3 linked regions of the Ovis aries genome follow. The protein of the gene in region 1 interacts with the protein of each later gene in a pairwise test. Links are inferred from orthologs where the notes say so. Each region holds a gene or a part of one and is shown on either strand. Other genes may lie near its edges.

Region 1 (3,523 bases):
GACTCTGGCTCCCACTGTGTGGCCCCTTAGCTTCTTGGGCTGAGGGTAAGCTCTGGCCGACACTGGAACCTTTGGACCTCCGGGGATCGTTAGAGTGAGGAGTCTGAGTTCTGCATCTGCCTTTCGGGGCGAGCCACATGGCCTGGCGGGAACCAGTGCAGGGTGGCTCTGAGGCTTTGTGGGAGCCGAGGCCCAGGGTCAGGCGCTCCTGTCTGCGGGCTCCTGCCCGTGCCGCCTGTTGCTGCCTGGCCCCCTGCTCTCTGGGGATAGCCGGCTGGTCGTGACGGTAGCCTGTGTGTGACCAGGAAGCTGCTGGGCTCCAGGCTCAGAAGCTTCTTCCCAGGGTGGAGTCTGAGTGAGATCTCTGTGCTCCATCCCCTCCCATGCGCAGCGGTCAGTGACGGGGGTGGTGCGTGCCACGTGCCGTCCCGGGGGGCCGCTGTGAGGCGTGCCTGTGTGCTGCGGGGCGTGCGCTCGCCTTGGAGGGGTCCCGGCTCCAGCCCTGGGGCGGCTGTGGACTTGACGACCGGCCTCCTGGGTTCAGCTCTGCTTGGCTCTGCTCTGGGTCTTGGAGCCTGCCTGCGTAGGCTCCCCTCACCAGGCCCATCCTTCTTGGCAGCGCGAGATGGACCGCAACCAGGAGCTCCTGGCGCGCATTCGGCAGCTTCAGGAGCGGGAGGCAGAGGCGGAGGAGAAGATGAAGGAGCAGCTCGAGCGGCACAAGCTGTGCCAGCAGAGCCTGGACGCGGCCGGCAGGAAGCTGCGGGAGAAGGAGGACGGCCTGGCCGAGGCCGGGGAGGTGAGGGGCCGCGGCGGAGGCGCCGCTTCTCGGGAAGAGTGGAGCGGTCCCGCCCCAGCTGTGGCTGCAGACTAGTGTCCCTGGTTGGTTCTGTTCTGCCTGCATTTTTTGCAGAGGTGTGATCATAGTAAAAATACTAATTTTCCATTCTGTGGTTTTCAGTTAATAGGGTGAATGCTTTTTTAGTCTTTGTAATTATGATTTTTAGTGGTTGATTAATCCATTTTCAGTCACCTTCAGGGGTTCTTTTTATACACACACATCTTGGTACAGATACACTTGGGGCGCATAGCTTCGCGCGCATCCCCGTTTTGTCTCTGTGGAATGGCTCCATTTGGACAGAGCCCAGGGGTTTGTGGGATAGTGTTACACGACCGCCAGCCACGGGCCTCCTCCTGGCCTTTGCTGCCTGTTGCCCTGCTCTGTCAGCGGATGTTGCCGAGGGCTCTGCTTTCCCTGTAGCCGCCCCTGTTACGGGTGGAAATACTTGTCCCCCCTCCCCAGAAGATGTAAGTAGCTGCCTCTGGATTTCCATGTCTTTGATTATTAGCATCTGAGAATCTCTGTGGAGCCAGAACATGGATGAACTGGAGTCCTGTCTCCACCAGCTGAAGGCTGGATGCATTTTAGAACCAGGGCCCGAACATTGCTGGTGGTACAGCTGGGACTGCCGGCCTTTCCTGCCCCTCCCACGAGCCGCTCAAGGTCACAGGTGCCGTGAGGGACCGGAGGAGACGCTGCCGAGGGGCCTGGGGTCACTGGTGCTCTGCCTCTGCGTAGGTTTCTCTGCTTGGTAGATCTTGGGAGCGGGCTCCAGCTTATTCTGCCTTGGCCACGCTGGAGAGCCTGTTACGGTTGTCCCTACACCTGTCCTCTGATGTGGATGCTGGCGGAGGGGCGCCGTGACGCCCTTGAGGCAAGCCCGCCCCTGCCCCAGTGTGCGCCTCCCTGTGCCCCCTGCAGGCGGGGGCGGGGGCAGGGCCGGGGTGTCCTGCACGTGGCTTCGTGACGGGCAGAGGCTGCAGAGCGGGCGGCGCTGGGCCCTGGCAGGGCGCAGGCGGTGGCGAGTGGGGACGGAGCCTGCTGCTCTCACGTCTCACTCCCCTGGAGAAGCGGCCCCGTCCCCGGTCTGAATCCAGGGCTGTAGACCCCCCGCCCACCCCGCCGGCCCCCTGTGTTTCCTTGTCACGGTGCCTGGTGTAGACGCTTGCGCTCTGCGGTCATCTTGCCAATGGCTGGGCTTCCCCTCAGCTTTGTCCTCCGTGGGGCGGGTGTCTGATCGCAGCATTCAGCACTACGCCTGTCTGTCTAATTCGGGAAGAGTTGTCAAAGGGCATATTTATTGTCACACAGATTCAGTACGTTCATTCTTTGTTGAGTCCCAGATTGATTGTTGTAGTAAAGGGATCCACGCAGGATGTTAGGAGGGCAGGCCCCAGCCCCTGGCCCTGCCGTCAGCCTCTGCGGGGCCTGTGGGGGGCCGCGTGGGTGCACTTGCGCTGCCCTGGCTGGGCGGGTGAGGCCTGCTGTGGCCGCCGTGCCTGCTCGGCGCCCCTGCAGACGTTGCTCACGTGCCGAGTTCGCCGGTCCGCCCTCTTGCCCCCAGCCTGTAGGTTGCCGACTGGCCGTCAGGCTGACGGGGTGAGGTTTCCCTTGTTACCTTAGAGTGGTGCGCCTGCGGGCTGGCTCTCCTGTTGGAGGTGTGGCCTCTTGCCTCGGGACAGCCACAGTGGAGCTCCATCACCGGAAGGTTGTCCGGGGAGGCTGTGGTCCGTGCCCGTGTCTGCCTGGTGGGCTCACTGTCCCAGGGCTGGGCCGTGGGCCAGCCCGACGCTGCCTTCCTCAGCGACCACGTCTGGCCTGGGCACGCGTCAGGCTCTGCGGTCCTCGGGGCGCTCCCGTTCGTCCTGAGGACCGCCTCCGCCCCCGCTCCTGTGTTCTTGGCAGGCGCCTGGGTGCTTCACCGGTGGCATCTCCTGCAGAGCTGGGATGGGGCAGTTGGAGAAGGAACCCGGGCTGAGAGTGAGAGCAGGTGTGGGGGGGGGGTGTGCGGCGCTGCCGAGGACCGGGGCTGCGTGCATGCGGCGGGAGGGGCGATGGAGCAGGTGCGGGGCCGCCCAGTGCGGTTGCGCCTGTCGCGGCCAGCAGCGTCCTCATGCCTGAGGCCGTCTGTCATCGTGGCTTGGCTCGAGGGGTGGTCACGGGCTCTGAAGGAGGAGCTGGCTCTGTCCGGGCCCTCAGGAGCGGGCTGGACGGGGGCTGGCTCTCGGGAGAGCGTTGGCCCCTGAGTCTCCGTGTGAGAGGCTCCCCTCCGTGCCTGTGCCGGAGACGAGGGTGAGTGGCTTGCGTTTCGCTTTCAGACCATCACCGCGTTAAAGGGGAGGCTCTCGGACCTGCAGTGGGACGTGATGAACCAGGAGATGCAGGTGAAGCGCCTGGAGTCTGAGAAGCAGGAGCTGAAGGAGCAGCTGGCCCTGCAGCACCAGTGAGTGGGGGGTGGCAGGGCTGCCGACTTCCAGGGCAGGCGTCTTTCCCCGCTGTGCCAGGCGAGCCTGGCCATCTGTCCTCCTGGATGCCTTCGGCCTGAAGCTTGCTGGGGCGGGCACTGAGCTGGACATCCACTTGTTATCTGGGCACAAGAACCAGGCTCGCTGTCCTGTGTGTGGCCTCCGTGGCCTGAGCGCCCAGTGCCCACGAGTGTCACGTGCACTGAAGCTCGGGGGT
Region 2 (3,961 bases), on another chromosome or scaffold:
AATTCTCCTAGCAAACTTGATTCTAGCTTATGATTCATCCAGCCCAGCATTTTGCATGATGCCCTCTGCATATAAGTTAAATAAACAAGGTGATGATATACAGCCTTGATGTACTACTTTCCCAATTTTGAATCAGTCTGTTGTTTCACATCAGGTTCTGTTGCTTTTTGACCTGTACACAGGATTCTCAAGAGACAGGTAAGGTGGTCTGGTATTTCCATCTCTTTAAGAATTTCCCACAGATCCACACAGTCAAAGGCTTTAGTATAGTCAGTGAATCAGAAGTAGATGTTTTTCTGGAATTCCCTTGTTTTCTCTGTGATCCAACGGATGCTGGAAATTTGATCTCTTGTTCCTCTGCCTTTTCTAAATTTACCTGGTACATCTGGAAGTTCTCAGTTCATGTAAGGCTGAAGGATTTTAAGCATTACCTTGCTAGCATGTGAAATGAGTGCAACTGTACAGTAGTTTAAACATTCTCTGGCACTGTCCTTTGGGACTGGAATGAAGACTAACTTTTTCCAGTCCTGTGGTGGCTGCTGACTTTTCCAAATTTGCTAATATATTGAGGGCAGCACTTTTACAACATCATCTCTTAGGATTTGAAATAGCTCAGCTGGAACTCTGTCACCTCTACTGGCTTTGTTTGTAGTAATGCTCCTAATGGCCACTTGACTTCACACTCCAGGATGTCTGGCTTTAGGTTAGTGACCACACTGTTGCGGTTATCTGGGTCATAAAGACCTTTTTTGTATAGTTCTTCTGTGTATTCTTGCCACCTCTTCTTAATCTCTTCTGTTAGGTCCTTACTGTTTCTGTCCTTTATCGTGCCCATCCATGCATGAAATGTTCCCCTTGACATTTCCAATTTTCTGAGGAGATCTCTAGTCTTTCCGATTCTATTGTTTTACTCTATTTCTTTGCACTGATCACTTAAGAAGGCTTTCTTATCTCTCCTTGCTATTCTCTGGAACTCTACCTTCAGTTGGGTGTTTGTTTCCCTTTCTCCCTTGCCTTTTGATTCTCTCCTTTTCTCATCTATTTGTAAAGCCTTCTCAGACAACCGTGCTGCCTTCTTTTCCTTAATACTAAATAAACCACAGCTTGGCACTTGATTAGCCTCTGCATGGATGTTCTCAAATTGCTTCATTGTATAAAATCCTCCTTTTCCCATTCAAGCAGTGAACTCTTTGAGAGTAGAACTCATTCTTTATCCCTCTCCTACTACACCAAACAATGTAAGTACTCAATAAATACCCAAGAGACTGAACCGAGATTACCTAACTTATAGGAAAAATTTAATTAAACATACAAAATTACCTAAAGACCTCTTTGCCCTTCACACAACTGTTTCCAAAACCAAAACGGTTCCCAGTCACCCCCAAAATGGTCCCTGATCTAGCCATCCTTTCCAAGTAGACTGCATTCTCTCTTCCCTCTCTTCCATCATCCTCTGTAAAACCACCACCCCAGTCCTGCTGCTGCTGCTAAGTCACTTCAGTCGTGTCCGACTCTGTGCGACCCCAGAGATGGCAGCCTACCAGGCTCTTCTGTCCCTGGGATTCTCCAGGCAAGAATACCGGAGTGGGTTGCCATTTCCTTCTCCAGTGCATGAGAGTGAAAAGTGAAAGTGAAGTTGCTCAGTCGTGTCCGACTTCGCGATCCCATGGACTGCAGCCCACCAGGCTCCTCCATCCATGGGATTTTCCAAGCAAGAATACTGGAGTGGGGTGCCATTGCCTTCTCCGACCCCAGTCCTAGCCGCCCCCAACTGAAACCGTGCCTCACCTCTCAAGTGTTTTTGTTTTGCATTTATGACAGCATCAGAGAACGTCATAAACGGCCTAGGGAGAGAATTCTCATATTTCTGAAGCCCTACCCCAACCCAGAAGGTGCCAATGGGCAGTACTGAGACTCACAGAATTGTGGCCCACATCAAAGCGCCAATTCTCACGAACTGATAAAGAAAAAGGCACTTTTAAGTTAAAGCCTGGGTATTTTAAGGGACACTACCCCAAACTCGCAATCGTTTTCAAAATAAACTTGAGAAACTTTCCTCTCTCAGCAGTCCTCCGAGCTTCCCCCTCAGACCCCGGGCAGCTCCGTGACTCTCGGAAGTCCGGGCAGCTCCGCCTCCCAGTTCTGCCACCCGAGCGGGCGCCGTCGCGCTCCGTGAGACTCAGTCGCCTCCTTTCCCCTAGAAACCCCAGCAGTCCTCACAGCCTCTACGCTCACCTCTCGCTCTGCCCCTCGACCAGGCTCCTTCCCGCAACCCAGACACCTGGCCCAGCTCGGCCCTCGGGCCTAGGGCGCCGTCCAAGGGGCCATCTTTTCTCCCGCACGGCCCTACTTCCCCCGGACACCTCTCACCTGAGACACCTCCCACCTGAGACCGCCCCCCCGCCGCCGCCCCCAAACCGCTCGCACCAGGCGCCTTTCTCCGTTCCCTGCTCCAGGACCCACCCCTCACCGCTCTCCTCTACTTCTCCCACCTACTCCTTCCGGTTCATCCCTCCCGCCCGGACACAAGGCGGCCCTGGGACCCCGGCCTCCTCCAACCCCCTTCCCTCGCCTCAAGAAGACCCCTCCCCCTCACCTCGTTGCCATCCTCCAGCAGCAGCCACTCGGCGTTCATCCCTATTCGCCGCAAGCACCAGCTCCGTTCACCCGCGCGGCCTTCCGTGACCAGGGAGCCGGGATCCCCCATAGTCCACTCGGACCAAGGTCGCAGTCAGCACAAGGCCGGACCCTGACGTGGGTTCCCGCCGCCTCTCGGCTTCCTCGCGGGCGCCATACCTACACCACAGACAGAAGCAGTCGCTACGGACTCACGATCGATGTGAATGTTCGCTTGGGCTCCGCCCCCAGCCCGCCCCGGCCAGCAAGCGGGAGTCACTGCGCCTGCGCGAGAGGAGGGCGCTTGGCGGCCGATGGCCCAGGTGAGGTGGTCTAGGCCAGGTGAGGTGGTCTAGGCCAGGTGAGGTGGTCTAGGCCAGGTGAGGGTGGTCTAGCCCAAGGTGCGGCATTTGCCCCCCGCCCCCGCCCCAGGCACTCTAATGCTCCTGTCACACCTTGCCCACCCTTTGTAGAACTCTTACCCCAGTCTTAGCCTCCCCAAACTGGAGTCTCTTCTCACTTTTCCTCCTTTTTTAAAGATTTTGCTTTATAACGCTTTCTAAGTTGTTTAAAATTATGACCTACTATTAAACAACTTTTAACTTGTGATGTTTTAAATCTATTAAAGTTGCTTTAAATAGCACCTCTTTTGCACCATCTCCTTTAACTATTTTTTTAAAACTTAGACTGGAAAAAAAATATTAAAAAAGAAAGGAATACCTTGGCAGCCTATTGGTTAGGACTCCTCGCTTTCACTGACAGGGTACCTCAATTTAGTCCCTTGTTGGGGAATTCAGTTCAGTTCAGTTCAGTCGCTCAGTCGTGTCCGACTCTTGGCGACCCCATGAATCGCAGCTTGCCAGGCCTCCCTGTCTATCACCAATTCCGGAGTTCCCGCAAACTTACGTCCATCGAGTCTGTGATGCCATCCAGCCATCTCATCGTCTGTCGTCCCCTTTTCCTCCTGCCCCCAATCCCTCCCAGCATCAGAGTCTTTTCCAATGAGTCAACTCTTCGCATGAGGTGGCCAAAGTACTGGAGTTTCAGCTTTAGCATCATTCCTTCTAATGAACACCCAGGACTGATCTCCTTTAGAATGGACTGGTTGGATCTCCTTGCAGTCCAAGGGACTTTCAGGAGTCTTCCCCAGCACCACAGTTCAAAAGCATCAATTCTTCGGCGCTCAGCTTTCTTCACAGTCCAAATCTCGCATGCATATATGACCACTGGAAAAACCATAGCCTTGACTAGACGTTGGGGAATTAAGATCTGCAAAAAAAAAAAAAAAAAAATCCTGCAAGTGTAGCCGGGTGACTCACCCTTCCCCCGCCACTCTCCCCCTCCC
Region 3 (4,233 bases), on another chromosome or scaffold:
AAGACTGGTAAACAAGAGCAAAAGTGTGAGTCACAACTGTGTTGCCCTTCAGTCTCAAGTTCAGAGCACACAAAGGGTATGACTGTGGCTTACAGTCGTGTGCAGGTAATTCTCCCTACTCAACTGAGATTACCATGATTAGCTCTGGTCCATAAAGGGAAAGCTAAGACACAAAGCCTCAGTGATGTTCCAGGCCACACAGTCAGCAATCATGGCAGGAAAGGAGTCTCTGAGGGCCCCTCTGAGGTCACACATGTTCTCTGATTATTAAGTATAAAACACCAGGGTGATGCACACAATGGAATGTTTAAGCCAAGACGTCACCGAATACAGGGTATGTTGATACAGCTTTAGCGGAGAAGTTACATAATCGTCCTAATGTGGAAACACCATAAAGGAATTTGTGACTTGGAATGAAGAGAGCTGCACTCCCTGGGAATCACTCCTCAAGGGGTATCAGGAGATGTTCAGTGAGAAACCCACTCCCCTAGATTGGGCTTCTCCGGTGGCTCAGAGGTTAAAGCGTCTGCCTGGAATGCGGGAGACCCGGGTTCGATCGCTGGGTTGGGAACATCCCCTGGAGAAGGAAATGGCAACTCACTCCAGTGCTCTTGCCTGGCGAATCCCATGGAGGAAGGAGCCTGGTAGGTCACAGAGTCGGACACAACTGGGCGACTTCACTAGATTGAGCAGGTGACTTGTAAAAAACAAACAAAACAGCCCAACGAAGGCCTTCTGAGGGCAGGCACTGTGCCCAGTTCAATTTAATGAGATTTAACCAGGCCCCTGGCTAAAAACAGTCTCCAGGGACCCCCATCTTTTCGCAGGGAAGGGAGGTCTATTCTATATTCAGCCTTCCGTTATATAAAAGTCCCTACTCCGAGTCCTCTCTGCCTCTTGCTTTTAGGTCAAATATTTATTTATGCAAGCCCAGAGGCCTTTCATTATCTTTGTACCCTGGAAGGCTCGAAATGAATCTTTTCTCGCACTGCGCTGAAATTCTTTGAAAGAAATCTCGAGCTCTGGAATCCACCTCCACCTCCAAATCTTCCTGGATCTCAGTCTCCACTGTCCCACCTGCCCCCAGGCGCAGCCAGAGTAGGAAGGGGGTGGCCGGAGGGGAGGGGCGGGGATGTCACAAGCACCTGTCACCTGGCAGGCCCCGGCCTCACTTCCTCACCCCCGGCCCCACCCACCCTGCCGCAGGAGAGGACCGACCAGGCGCCCGCCCCCTCGCACGCCCCGACACTGGCAGGCCAGTCCCTCCCGCCCCAGCCTCCTGCCGCCGTCCAATGGCCGAGGGGCAGGGCAAGCTGAGCAAGCCGCGGCAGCCCAGCCGGGTCTCCGCCCTGTTCCCGGTTCCCGAGCCGGGCCCCGGCGGCCTTTAAATGCCACCCTAGGCCGACACGGCGCGGCCCTCGCCACCTTTTTCCTCGGGCGACGGTAGCGGCACCCCGAGGAAGAAAGCAGCTTAGACTCTGCAGCTCCGTCCCGGCCGCGGCAACCACCTCCGACCTCCGGGCCCGCGCCGCCTCCCCCGCCTCCCCCCGTCCCCCCTCCCCCAGGCGCCGCTGGCCCGGTCGGCGCCGGGCCCCCGGGCGTGCGCGCGCGCGTACCCGCGCGTGTGTGCGCGCCCCAGCCAGCCTCGGACCCGCGCCCCCGCCCGGCGCAGGACCGCCCCGGGATCCCCGCCCGCGCGCCGCGTCCCACGTCCCACGCCGCCCGGCCGCCAGCCGCGCACCCCGCCGCGCTGCGCGAGAAGATGGCGGGGTCGGTGGCCGACAGCGATGCAGTGGTGGTGAGTGCCGGCGAGGCGCCCCCTTCCCGCGGCCCGCACGGCCCCGCCGCTGGCTCCCGCCTGGCGGAGGCCCAGCCCCGCGCCCCCGGCGGGAGACGGCGCCCCAGTACCTGGTTAGAGGGAGCCGGCTGTGCGCGACCGGAGTGGGGGGAGGGCTGGAGGGGTGCCCCGCGGGAGGACTGCTGGCTGAGTGGAGGTGTTAGGGGCGGCCTGCGCGTGGGGGTGAGCTACAGCCCACTCCGCGCCGTGCAGACACCGGCCAGGTGTGAGTGTGCGCGGTTGTGAGTGTGTCCGGCGCGCGCGCCCCTTGTCCGCTCCCCCAACCCCCACGGCATCCCGGGGATTCCCCCTTGGAAATGGGTCCTAGCCTGGGGCTCGCGGGAGAAGTTGAGCGCGGCTGCTGCACTCCAGCCACATCCTGGAGTCCAGGCCTGGGCGACAGGTTCTAGGGGCGTTTGCGGTTGGAGAGGAGCCTGCCTTCCTCCGGAGCGGGGCTCTGGTTCCCCAGTGGGCCTCGACCTTCATTTTGATCTAGATCTGAAGGGTCTGGGGAGCATCAGAGGCTTAGCTACCTGATAGAAAGGACGGGTTTGGTTCCGGGGTTTTCTGCGGGTAAGCCTCTGTTGTGGGGAGGATTGCTGGATTCCTCCAGATTTGTATAGGTTCTTCCCTGCTCCCGCTAACACCCACCTCCGAAAGCCTTTGGAAAGCCAATCTGTGTGCTTCTATTTTTAGAAACTAGATGATGGGCATTTAAACAACTCCTTGGGCTCGCCAGTTCAAGCCGACGTGTACTTCCCACGACTGGTAAATGATTTTGTTCCCTCTTCGGTGTCTGCCTGTACCCTCTTGTTTCTAATTGCATTTTTAAATGGGTCAAGTCCTAAGGAACTGAGGGCTTGGCTCTTCCCTAACAGGCTGTGAACTTTGTTTCTGCTCTCATCCTCTACAGATCGTGCCATTTTGTGGGCACATTAAAGGTGGCATGAGACCAGGCAAGAAGGTGTTAGTGATGGGCATTGTAGACCTCAACCCAGAAAGGTAAGGCAGATTCCTTGTCTCCTATGATGCTGTCAAAAATTTTGGGTTTCTCTGCCCACCCAAGCCAAATGAAAAATACGGAGACAGAGTTTGGAGAAAATAAAAGGGTGGCTTTAATCCTCAGCCAGAGGAGGGGAGAAACAGCAGGCTAGAGCCTCAAGAACTGTATGCCCCTCCCATGAGGAATTGGCGGGGGGTGGTGATTATATAGATGAAGGGGTCAGTGATGAGGAACAAAGGTGTGAAGGTCTTGTATTCTTCTTCCTTTTGTATCATTTCAAAAACAGACTGGCCATCAGGTAGCCCAGTAGTTGGGTCCATTGTCTTGCATGAATTGTACTATGGCCTCCTTTCTGTAGTGCAAAAAGAGAGGAAAAGAACTATGAGGGGGTCGTCTGCAAAGAGAGTGCTGTAAAGGTGAGCCCCAGACAGAGTGTGATCTGCATACCAGGTTAGTCTTGATTACCTACTACAGATCAGGAACAGTTAAAAGTGAAAAAAAGAGCTCAGAAAAGGGCAAGAGAAAAAACAAAACAACTTTTTCCTCTTTTTTCACTACAACACTTATACCTATCCAGCAGTTACAAGGTCCTGCCTCACTCTTGTAGCTTTCTGCTGCCCTTCCAACCCCTGTGGCCAGTGTTACTGGTTGCAAGTGCCAAGAAAGTACTATGTTCCCATGAAAAGAATGTGTATGAATCTCAGTGGCCATTTCTCTAGACAGCTATTTATATCAGAGATTATAAATATAGACCCACATCATTTTCTCTTTGACCCTTAGGGAGGCCAAAGGACTTTTTTAAAAAAATGTTTTTCAAACACAGTGCTTGGAGTAAGAACTATCAGTATAAATGAGAACCAAACTACAAGATATTGTTTCCCTTGGTCAGTTTCCCCTGGCTGTTTTTGAGTCTTCTGAAATGGGTTAAAACACAGATGTGTGGGTAGTTTGGAGTATCTGAAATATCCACAGTTAGTTATTTTCATCTCTATCAAAGTTTTCTCCAGGGCCACCTCCTGTGGGTAACAAAATTAGCTAGTTTGATTGTAATTCTACTTATCCATGGTCTTGTCACCTACCCCCCCCTCCCCCGCCCCACCGCCGCCCTGTGGAGAGTAGTGGCCCACTAAAAGCTGACCAATCCAGAGAGGAAGAAGGAAATGGGAGCCTGGGTCTTTGTTAAATGTTATTTTGCTCAACCGTGAATAAATGAGATGATTTTCTTTTCAGCTTTGCAATCAGCTTGACCTGTGGTGATTCAGAAGATCCTCCCGCCGATGTGGCAATAGAACTCAAAGCAGTGTTCACAGACCGGCAGCTACTCAGAAATTCTTGTATATCTGGGGAAAGGGGTGAAGAACAGTCAGCGATCCCTTACTTCCCATTCATCCCA

Evidence for each region.
Region 2: the proteins of MAD1L1 (region 1) and RNF8 interact in binary tests that used the Homo sapiens proteins (3 or more experiments, as listed by UniProt). The two-hybrid records come from large-scale screens. The link is inferred for Ovis aries from reciprocal best matches to the Homo sapiens genes MAD1L1 and RNF8.
Region 3: the proteins of MAD1L1 (region 1) and LGALSL interact in binary tests that used the Homo sapiens proteins (3 or more experiments, as listed by UniProt). The two-hybrid records come from large-scale screens. The link is inferred for Ovis aries from reciprocal best matches to the Homo sapiens genes MAD1L1 and LGALSL.

The regions. Positions count from the first base shown.
Region 1 is NC_056077.1:41,374,241-41,377,763, forward strand, and holds part of MAD1L1 (mitotic spindle assembly checkpoint protein MAD1), read left to right. Parts: intron 1-619; coding exon 620-799; intron 800-804; exon of another isoform or gene 805-2,831; intron 2,832-3,159; coding exon 3,160-3,284; intron 3,285-3,523. UniProt on the Homo sapiens protein: Component of the spindle-assembly checkpoint that prevents the onset of anaphase until all chromosomes are properly aligned at the metaphase plate.
Region 2 is NC_056073.1:11,303,692-11,307,652, reverse strand, and holds the start of RNF8 (E3 ubiquitin-protein ligase RNF8), read right to left. Parts: upstream 2,816-3,961; 5' UTR 2,708-2,815; coding exon 2,597-2,707; intron 2,504-2,596; exon of another isoform or gene 2,236-2,503; intron 1-2,235. UniProt on the Homo sapiens protein: E3 ubiquitin-protein ligase that plays a key role in DNA damage signaling via 2 distinct roles: by mediating the 'Lys-63'-linked ubiquitination of histones H2A and H2AX and promoting the recruitment of DNA repair proteins at double-strand breaks (DSBs) sites, and by catalyzing 'Lys-48'-linked ubiquitination to remove target proteins from DNA damage sites.
Region 3 is NC_056056.1:43,853,326-43,857,558, reverse strand, and holds the start of LGALSL (galectin-related protein), read left to right. Parts: upstream 1-1,413; 5' UTR 1,414-1,762; coding exon 1,763-1,798; intron 1,799-1,908; exon of another isoform or gene 1,909-2,081; intron 2,082-2,533; coding exon 2,534-2,605; intron 2,606-2,750; coding exon 2,751-2,839; intron 2,840-4,070; coding exon 4,071-4,233. UniProt on the Homo sapiens protein: Does not bind lactose, and may not bind carbohydrates.